Arabidopsis thaliana: one gene and its partner. The protein of the gene in region 1 interacts with the protein of each later gene in a biochemical or structural test. Each region holds a gene or a part of one and is shown in the gene's direction. Other genes may lie near its edges.

What was found. Proteins that work in one complex are often made in the same cells at the same time.
Region 2: the proteins of MORF1 (region 1) and MEF21 form a complex in vitro, tested with the Arabidopsis thaliana proteins (one study listed by BioGRID).

The regions. Positions count from the first base shown.
Region 1 is NC_003075.7:10,843,196-10,848,161, reverse strand, and holds MORF1 (multiple organellar RNA editing factor), read left to right. Parts: upstream 1-2,014; 5' UTR 2,015-2,076; coding exon 2,077-2,444; intron 2,445-2,662; coding exon 2,663-2,760; intron 2,761-2,849; coding exon 2,850-2,915; intron 2,916-3,001; coding exon 3,002-3,729; 3' UTR 3,730-3,760; downstream 3,761-4,966. Other genes in the region: AT4G20040 (Pectin lyase-like superfamily protein), read left to right, coding at 1-814; AT4G20030 (RNA-binding (RRM/RBD/RNP motifs) family protein), read right to left, coding at 916-1,062, 1,142-1,248, 1,339-1,407, 1,665-1,800; PTAC9 (plastid transcriptionally active 9), read right to left, coding at 4,173-4,301, 4,388-4,452, 4,571-4,718, 4,833-4,938. UniProt on the Arabidopsis thaliana protein: Involved in organellar RNA editing. Required for the processing of numerous RNA editing sites in mitochondria. Binds to the mitochondrial MEF19 and MEF21 factors, two pentatricopeptide repeat-containing proteins involved in RNA editing.
Region 2 is NC_003071.7:8,841,719-8,846,786, forward strand, and holds MEF21 (mitochondrial editing factor 21), read left to right. Parts: upstream 1-2,432; 5' UTR 2,433-2,441; coding exon 2,442-4,046; downstream 4,047-5,068. Other genes in the region: PHB6 (prohibitin 6), read left to right, coding at 582-746, 1,033-1,149, 1,261-1,431, 1,529-1,741, 1,875-2,069; AT2G20550 (HSP40/DnaJ peptide-binding protein), read right to left, coding at 4,333-4,768, 4,977-5,068.

The DNA.
Region 1 (4,966 bases):
CTCAGCTCGTATCCGTATAACCAATTGTTATTTCCTCCATTTCACAACGCAAGGGATTAAAGTCCAAGGAGGTCATGAGACATACATTTCAAACTCCTTCTTGGGGCAACATTCAACGGTAGGAGGAGACAGAGAAGAAAGAGGATTTACTGGGACAGGAATCGATATCTCGAGTAACGACAATGCCATTACGGATGTAGTGATTTTCTCGGCTGGTATCGGTATCTCTTTGAATGGTGGTGCAAATATGGTTACGGGTGTGCATTGCTACAATAAAGCTACATGGTTTGGTGGCATTGGCATTCTAGTGAAATCACATTTAACGAGGATAGATAATTGTTACCTTGATTACACAGGTATAGTCATAGAAGACCCTGTCCATGTTCATGTCACCAATGCTTTGTTCTTAGGAGATGCAAACATCGTCTTGAGATCGGTACACGGGAAGATTTCCGGTGTAAACATCGTCAACAACATGTTTAGCGGTACCGCCAAAAACAACTTCCCGATTGTCAAGCTAGAAGGAGAGTTTCATGATATTAATCAAGTTGTGATTGATCAAAACAATGCAGAAGGGATGATGCTGAAATCAACAACCGGAAAGGCCATGGTTTCCGCAAATGGAACACGATGGATCGCTGATTTTTCCCCTGTTTTGGTATTCCCTAACCGGATAAACCATTACCAGCATTCGTTTTTCGCTCAATCCGGACAGATCCCTGCAAATGCAGTGACCAATGTCTCCAACAATATGGTGGTTGTAGAAACCGATAGAGCTGTAACTGGAACCGTGTCAATAATTGCTTATCAGTAAAACAACATTCTTCACATTGATCATATTCCTAATAAGAAAGCATGATTTGACATCTGATTTATACAAGTTCAGTTACAGTTTGGTGAGCTTGATACTAACAACTAATACCAGCAATCAGCAACCTCATCATTAGCGGCTTCTTCTGGCTCATCCGACTTCTCAGGTGGACCAGAAGTCCTAGGCAGTCCTTGGAAATCACGTTTACCTGGTTTCGCAATGTCTATATAAATCATTCTGCCATTGTACATCTGCAACAGAGGAATGGGAAACATTTAGGTTGATTTCAAGACATAAAAATGTAAACTTGTGATTGAAAGAAGCTTTTACCCGACGGTCCATGGTCTCTATGGCAAGAAAAGCATCATCTTGAGACGTGAATTGAATAAAAGCATAACCTTTTGATCTCTTCATTGCCTCATCTTTGATAAGCTTAACTGTTTTGAAGTATAAGAGTGAACATATCAATGCCATAAAACTGAACCTTAAAGCAACAAAACAGAGTAAAATTGAAACCGCAAACATACCTTCAGCTATCTCTCCAAAAGCTGAAAACTCTCTCTTTAGAAAATCTTCACTTGTAGAAAACGGTAAATCTACAAATTCAAAGTGAAGAAACATCAGAACCGTAGAGTAATTACCAAGTTGAAGTTACAACCAACTTCAACTTCACTAATGATTGCTACAAGAGCTTAGAGCTATCACATATGACTACCGTCACAATCCTGACTCAAATCAACTAATTTCAATCAAACCAGAATCATAAATTACTTTTGGAACAATAACAGAACCATGTCCTAATCTCAGCTAGAAGCGAATTCAAATATAAACCAAAAGATAATCTGAATCTTACTTCTGACCATGATTTTGCTCGCTAGAGGGTAATTAAAGAGCGAAGCTTTAATCTTTGGAAACCTAAGGTTCCTGTAATTAGGTAGAGAAGATGAAGAAGCCACAAAAGAAGGGAAAGATAACGTCGCCGACCACATAATTCACAGTCGCCGGAAATAGAGAGGGAGAAGAAGAAGAAACAAACAGAGAGTTATAAAACGACAGCGGTATAGTAAAAAGCTAAGGCCTAAGTTTTTTGGCCCAGTGATAAATTTGAAACTTTAGGCGGAAACTAAAAACATTTGAAACAATAAGGACTTAAAAAGTAATTTACTATTTATTTAGATATTGTAAAACCCACACAAAAACCCTAATTTCATTTCTCCAAAGCTTTCCAGAATACTCTCCACTCCTTCATAATTTCTCTGGCAACGATGGCTATGATATCTCACCGTCTCCGACGAGCTTTACTCACTGCGACTTCCTATGTTAACCGATCAATTAGCTCTTCGATCACACCAGCGTCTGATTTCCCTTCTGTGTCGGCGGCGGTGTTAAAGAGATCCGTTATAGGGCGTTCGACGGAAGTAGCTACTCGAGCACCGGCGAGACTGTTTTCAACGAGGCAGTACAAGCTTTACAAAGAAGGTGATGAGATCACGGAAGACACTGTGTTGTTCGAAGGATGTGATTATAATCACTGGCTTATCACTATGGATTTCTCCAAAGAGGAAACTCCTAAGTCTCCAGAAGAAATGGTCGCTGCTTATGAAGAAACTTGCGCCCAAGGACTTGGCATCAGGTTAGTAGATGAATTTTTGTCACTGCTTAGATTCGTTGCTTTTGGCTAAATTGTCCAAAAATCATTCAGTAAGTTACTTAAATGTGAGAACTTTACCATTGCTAGGGTTCCATTCACTGTTATATAGCTCTGCTTTGATTTTTGTGTATCTTCTTCTGGTATTGATATTGGTTAAGACGATTATATTGATTCATTTTTGGTGTTTATGGTTGAGTCAGCGTGGAAGAGGCTAAGCAAAGGATGTATGCTTGTAGCACAACTACTTACCAAGGATTTCAAGCAATCATGACTGAACAAGAATCAGAAAAGTTCAAGGGTATATAGTTCGAATCATTTATGTTTGTTTTCTTTTGAATTCAACTTTTTTCACCAGATATTGACTCTGTTATTGGTATATGTAAACAGATCTACCCGGAGTGGTTTTCATCTTGCCAGATTCCTACATTGATCCCCAGAACAAAGAGTATGGAGGTGAGCTGGTTTTTTTTACAAACTGGTCTTATTTTGGATATTTGTTGTTGGGACTCTATCAACAAAATTATGTTTCTTGTTTTCAGGAGATAAATACGAGAATGGAGTGATAACACACAGGCCACCACCGATTCAGAGTGGCAGAGCAAGACCTCGTCCTAGATTTGACCGTTCAGGAGGAGGAAGTGGTGGTCCCCAAAACTTCCAAAGAAACACACAGTATGGTCAGCAACCACCAATGCAAGGTGGTGGAGGGAGCTATGGTCCTCAACAGGGCTATGCCACTCCAGGACAAGGTCAGGGAACTCAAGCGCCTCCACCATTTCAAGGAGGTTATAACCAAGGCCCGAGATCTCCACCACCTCCATATCAGGCAGGTTACAATCAAGGCCAGGGATCTCCAGTGCCTCCATATCAGGCAGGTTACAATCAAGTCCAGGGATCTCCAGTGCCTCCATACCAAGGAACACAAAGCAGTTACGGTCAAGGTGGATCTGGGAACTATAGTCAAGGGCCACAAGGTGGTTACAACCAAGGAGGACCTAGGAATTACAATCCACAGGGAGCTGGAAACTTTGGTCCTGCATCTGGAGCTGGAAACTTAGGTCCTGCACCTGGAGCTGGAAATCCTGGCTATGGTCAGGGGTATTCTGGACCAGGACAAGAGCAGAATCAGACATTCCCACAGGCAGATCAGAGGAATCGAGACTGGAACAACAATAATCCAGCAGGCCAGCCCGGGTCTGACCAAGTAAGATCTCGATCAATAATGAATCTTGCATCTTTCTTTTTTGATATCCTCATCAGGCATTAAAGTACCCCATTTTCCCCATATTTGTTACTGAGATGGTCCTGTGTTTCAGTTTCCACAGGGAAGAAGGTACTAGACAGAGAGCATGCTGCAGTGAATTGAGCTGAATAAGGAGAGAAGTGTCAAAGGCCTTTTATTAAGTTTTACAGTAAATAGTATTTAGTCATCTTTCTACTTTGTAAGACAATAGTTAGTCCTTTTTTCTCTTAAGTTGAGCTTGTTAACGTTGTTGGTTGCGCTTGTGAAATTGAAACACTCTTTCTAGAAGTTCTTTTAAGACCTAATATGCTTGCTTTACCTGAGACATTTGGAATCGTCCACACTTGTAGCTACTGTATTCAGTCTACTAACCAAAAATCAAACGGAACTTTGAAGACCACTTTGAATAGAAATGATGAATTTTGTAAACACTTGGAGCTCTTTACATGGAGATAATGTTTCTAAAGCTAAAAGACAATACTTTCTTGTTTCTTCTTGACTGGTGGCAGTTTCGGTAATACCCAAGTAGGAGACTCGTTTAGCCACAGTGCTTCACCTGTCTCCTTGTGCTTGAAATCAGGGGCTTTTGCATTTCTCTTCAAAACAAAAACGATATTGGGACAATAGGTCAGTTTCTTGGAAAGATTGATGAAAAACCGAGCAAAAGATATTGGTATCCTACCTTGTCGATTCTATTGTCCCACCATTTATCTGGGTTCTGAACCAAGTCCTTCCATGATTCTTCTCCTACACATATCAGCCCAGATTTCAGTTTATACAAACATACTTGAACAAGTGCCACATAACTGTAAACAACTTTCTTTGTATAGTTGCATAGGAACATGGAAATGACTGGGAACTTTACCTTTAAGTTGTTTTACAACTCTGGCTTTAGGGACTAGAACATCGAACTCGAGTCCTTCGAGTTTTGGCAAAACCCAATTAGGAGCCTTATTGAGCCACAGCGAAAAACTACTGTCCTTGCTTTTGAAATCAGGATGCCTAGGTTTTACCTATGTAGGAGAAAAACCAAGAAGTCAGAAAACTAGTAGAGAGATTTAGCAGACACCATATCAAAAGATTGCGAGTGAGATAAGGATGAATAGTTAAGCACATGGGGCATTTACCAATCCATTGACTTTATTTTCCCGGTGATCCCACCATTCTTTAGGATTTTCAATGAGGTGATTCCAAGAATCTGAAGCTTCATCAATGACTATATCCTGCTTAGCTCTAGCTAGAGACTCATTTAACAAACCAT
Region 2 (5,068 bases), on another chromosome or scaffold:
TACATTTTTGAAAAGTGATAATAATTAATCTACTATCTATTAATCAAAATGAGAATTATTTCTTTTGTATAGAAAGTAAGGAAATGTCAAATATGGCCGTTTATATATTAAGAAAAATAAATAAAAATCGTTTACTAAAAAAAAAATATATTAAGAAAAATAAATAAATTAGTGAATTCACTAATGGGCCTGAATACAAATTTTGGGCCCAAAGATCTCTAGTAACAGAAAATGCGTGATCGACCAAAGCGTCAACAAAATCCTGATTTCTGAGCTTTAAACCCTAACCCCTCTCTTCTCTCTTCTCCACGCCATTTCCAGAATTTTCAGGTACTTCCTCTCGCCATTTTCATTATAGATCGAATTCTTAGTTTAAGCGAGTAAAGCTTCAGATTCTTCGGCTTCAATTTTGTGATCTAAGTTTTTGTTTCGTTTCAGCTAATTTGCAGATTATCTTTGTCTCTTTTTCGTTGATCCAAGTTTTCCTTGGGTCTAATCTACAAACGCATTTCGTTTCTCTATTTATCTGTTTCTGCCTTGGATTTTGATTGGGTTCCAAATTTGCAGGTGTTCGTGAAAAGATGAATTTTAAGAATGTCAAAGTTCCCAAAGGTCCTGGTGGTGGTGTTATAGCTGCGGTGGTTATTGGGGGGCTCAGTCTTTACGGTGCTACGCACACTCTCTACAATGTCGATGGAGGTCATCGAGCCATTGTCTTTAACCGGCTTGTTGGTATCAAAGACAAGGTTAGTCCCTGCAAAAATTGGTTTCTTCTGAATCTGTATATTGACAATGAATCTTGTGGTTGTGACATCTAGCTGAAGTTAGGTTAGGCTTAGCATTACTAGTGAATCTTATGTTTGCGGCATATAGCTCACGTTAGGTTAGGCTTACCGTTAGTAGTGAATCTTGTGTTTGCCGCATCTAGCTTAAGTAAACAAGGTTGATTTCTTAGTCTAGTTTTGATAGTCGTTTACAAAAGTCATCTTGATGCGCCATTAATAGTATATCTTTGCTTGCTTGATTATGTAGGTCTACCCTGAGGGTACTCACCTTATGATTCCATGGTTCGAAAGGCCAATCATCTATGACGTTCGTGCAAAGCCTTATCTAGTTGAGAGCACATCTGGGAGCCGTGATCTCCAGATGGTATTCCGCTTCATTTCATCACTTCTAATACTAATGGGTATAATCAGGTCGTGTGGTTTTGTCGTGTGAACTACATGATAAGCTTATGTTGTGTGGTATTTAAACATTCAGGTTAAGATTGGGCTTCGGGTTCTCACCCGTCCTATGGCTGACCAATTACCAGAGGTATACCGGTCCCTTGGTGAGAATTACCGCGAGAGAGTCTTGCCTTCTATCATCCACGAGACCTTGAAAGCTGTGGTTGCTCAGTACAACGCAAGCCAACTTATTACTCAGAGAGAGGTTAGCCAACTGGCTGTAAATACATTTTATTGATTCCTCTTCAATGGTAAATTGATGTCCCTTTTAATGGATATATGTTTTTTTGGTGTTTTTCAAGTCGGTGAGTAGAGAAATCAGGAAAATCCTAACTCTAAGAGCCGCAAACTTCCACATTGCACTGGATGATGTGTCCATCACAGGCTTGACATTCGGAAAGGAGTTCACGGCAGCCATAGAAGGAAAGCAGGTCGCTGCTCAAGAGGCCGAACGGGCTAAGTTCATTGTCGAGAAAGCTGAACAGGACAAGAGAAGTGCTGTTATCCGCGCCGAGGTGTGAAAAGTGTTTCTCTCTTTTCTAGCATTTTAAAAACCGGAGATTGTGTTAAAGCTTGCTTTTTTTTTTCTTTTTTGTTGTGAACTATTTTAAAGCTTGCTAACTGATGTTTCTGCATGGGTTTATGTAGGGAGAAGCCAAGAGTGCTCAGCTCATTGGTCAAGCAATCGCAAACAACCAAGCGTTCTTAACACTGAGGAAGATCGAAGCAGCTAGAGAGATCGCACAGACCATCTCTAGGTCGGCGAACAAGGTTTACTTGAGCTCTAACGATCTGTTGCTTAACCTACAGGCTATGGACCTTGATGTGAAGCCGAAGAAGTAGAGAATGATATGATTAAACCACACCAGAGCTCTTCTTCCATAATCGTATTTTCAATTCACGGATTCTTAGACCAAAAGCTATGAGTTCTATCTTGTGAATTTCAGACACTATCGTGCGTTTGTAGTCTTTCTTTTGTGAGATCAAGAAGAAAAGAAAAGATTTATGTTTTTACAAGTTGTTTACATTTGGTAATAATGATGTTCACAAAGCTGGAAAATAGGCTGTGAAAAAGATCAAACAAATGGGCCTGAAAATGAGAATTGGGCTTTTGGCCTAAGTTTGGTGAACCCCGAGAGACACACATCTGGGTTTAACGACGTTAGGTCGGAGCCAATTTGATTCCACCACCACGAGCTTCCTAATCTAGCTTTAATGGCGTTTCATGGAATCAGAGAAGTTGAAAACTATTTTATACCTTTTCTACAGCGAGTCAAAAGCCGCAATGAATGGAAGAAGATCAATGCCTCCATCATCATACATGGATTATCACAAAGCAGCTTCATGGTCACTAAAATGGTGGATTTTTGTGATAAGATTGAAGATATGGATTATGCAACTCGTCTTTTTAACCAAGTATCGAATCCTAATGTCTTCTTATACAATTCTATAATTCGTGCTTATACTCACAATTCATTGTACTGCGATGTGATCAGAATCTACAAGCAACTGCTCAGGAAGAGCTTTGAGTTACCAGATCGGTTCACTTTCCCGTTTATGTTTAAATCTTGTGCGAGTCTTGGATCATGTTATTTAGGGAAGCAAGTTCATGGTCATCTCTGCAAATTCGGGCCTAGGTTCCATGTTGTGACTGAGAATGCATTGATTGATATGTACATGAAGTTTGATGATCTTGTTGATGCACATAAAGTGTTTGATGAAATGTATGAGAGAGATGTTATATCTTGGAATAGTTTGCTTTCTGGATATGCAAGGCTTGGGCAGATGAAGAAAGCAAAAGGCTTGTTTCATTTGATGCTAGATAAAACTATTGTATCTTGGACTGCGATGATCTCTGGGTATACTGGGATTGGTTGTTATGTAGAGGCTATGGATTTCTTCCGTGAAATGCAGTTAGCTGGTATTGAGCCTGATGAGATCAGTCTCATTTCTGTTTTACCGTCGTGTGCGCAGCTCGGATCTCTAGAGCTTGGGAAATGGATCCATCTATATGCAGAGAGAAGAGGGTTTCTGAAACAAACTGGTGTTTGCAATGCTCTTATTGAAATGTACTCGAAATGTGGTGTGATTAGTCAAGCTATCCAATTGTTTGGCCAAATGGAAGGGAAAGATGTTATATCATGGAGTACGATGATCTCTGGGTATGCATATCACGGGAACGCTCACGGAGCAATCGAAACATTCAATGAAATGCAGAGAGCGAAGGTGAAGCCTAACGGGATCACATTTCTTGGTCTTTTATCAGCTTGTTCACATGTTGGTATGTGGCAAGAAGGGTTGAGGTATTTTGATATGATGAGACAAGATTATCAAATAGAACCTAAGATCGAACACTATGGCTGTTTGATTGATGTTTTGGCAAGAGCAGGAAAACTAGAACGAGCTGTTGAAATAACAAAGACAATGCCGATGAAACCCGACTCGAAGATATGGGGTTCATTGTTGAGCTCTTGCAGAACACCAGGCAATCTTGATGTTGCTCTGGTTGCAATGGATCATCTTGTGGAGCTAGAGCCGGAGGATATGGGAAATTATGTTTTGCTTGCCAATATTTACGCAGATTTGGGAAAATGGGAGGATGTTTCGAGATTGAGAAAGATGATAAGGAACGAAAATATGAAGAAAACGCCAGGTGGTAGTTTGATAGAAGTGAACAACATTGTTCAGGAATTCGTTTCAGGAGATAACAGTAAACCTTTTTGGACTGAGATATCTATAGTGCTGCAGTTGTTTACTTCACATCAAGATCAGGATGTGATTACAAACAACAATGCTCTTGCATTTATAGGCATAGTTTAGAAGCGTTTGGATTATAGAAGAAGTAGCAAACTTATTAGGCGTCTTCAATCATACATATGTTACAAATCGATCAGAAATATACAACAGTATTTAATTATACATACGTTACAAATCGATCATAAAGGTCACAACAGTACTCATTCATACATATGCTACAAATCGATCAGAAAGGCCACAACAGTATTTAATCACAATATATAGGAGCTTTGATACTTCCTCTCGTATTCTACATTGTTTTGTCTGGACTGGGCTGATTTTAACTGGACTGGGCTGATTTTAACTCCATTCATCCGAGAAGTTTCTTCAATCCTGTCTTCTGCTCTGAGGTTAACGTTGTAGGGAACTTGATGTTAAATTTGATCCTCAAGTTGCCTTTCTTAGCCTGGTCTTTCTGCAACGGCATTCCTTCATTTGGAACCACTTCCACATACTCGGGATGGATCACAGTGTTGACTGGGATGGTCAGTCTCCGACCATCAAGTGTAGTCAGGTTGACGGTGTAGCCGGTAAAGGCCTCGAGAACTGAGATCTTCTGTGTGACTACGAGGTCATTACCCTCTCGAGTGAAAACCGGATGAGGCTTCTCATCTATGATGAAGACTAAATCCGCTGGTATCACACCGGGTTGCTCATTTCCTTTCTCCGAGAATGTGATCTTTGTGCCTGTCTTCCACCCCGGTTTCACATCAACAGTCAAAATCTCTTGTACCTGCGTCGTCTTGCTGCAAGTTTTTTTCAAAAGAAAACACATAAACTGGTCAGCATATGCGATTTTTGCCACTCAACAAGGTTATCAAGTATGATCAATGTTCTGCTTTCATTATGTATTGCCAAACGAACACCCTAACTAACGCTTTCTTAAGATGAGTGGCTAACCTAAAGAGTTCCACTTGGTGTTCACAAATAAGAAATGGAATGGTCATGACTTACCCAAAGACACCAGCAATCTCTCTAGAGATCTTCATCTTCTTGGTGGTTCCTTTGTAAAGATCTTCAAGGCTACAAGGCAACTTTTTTTCAAC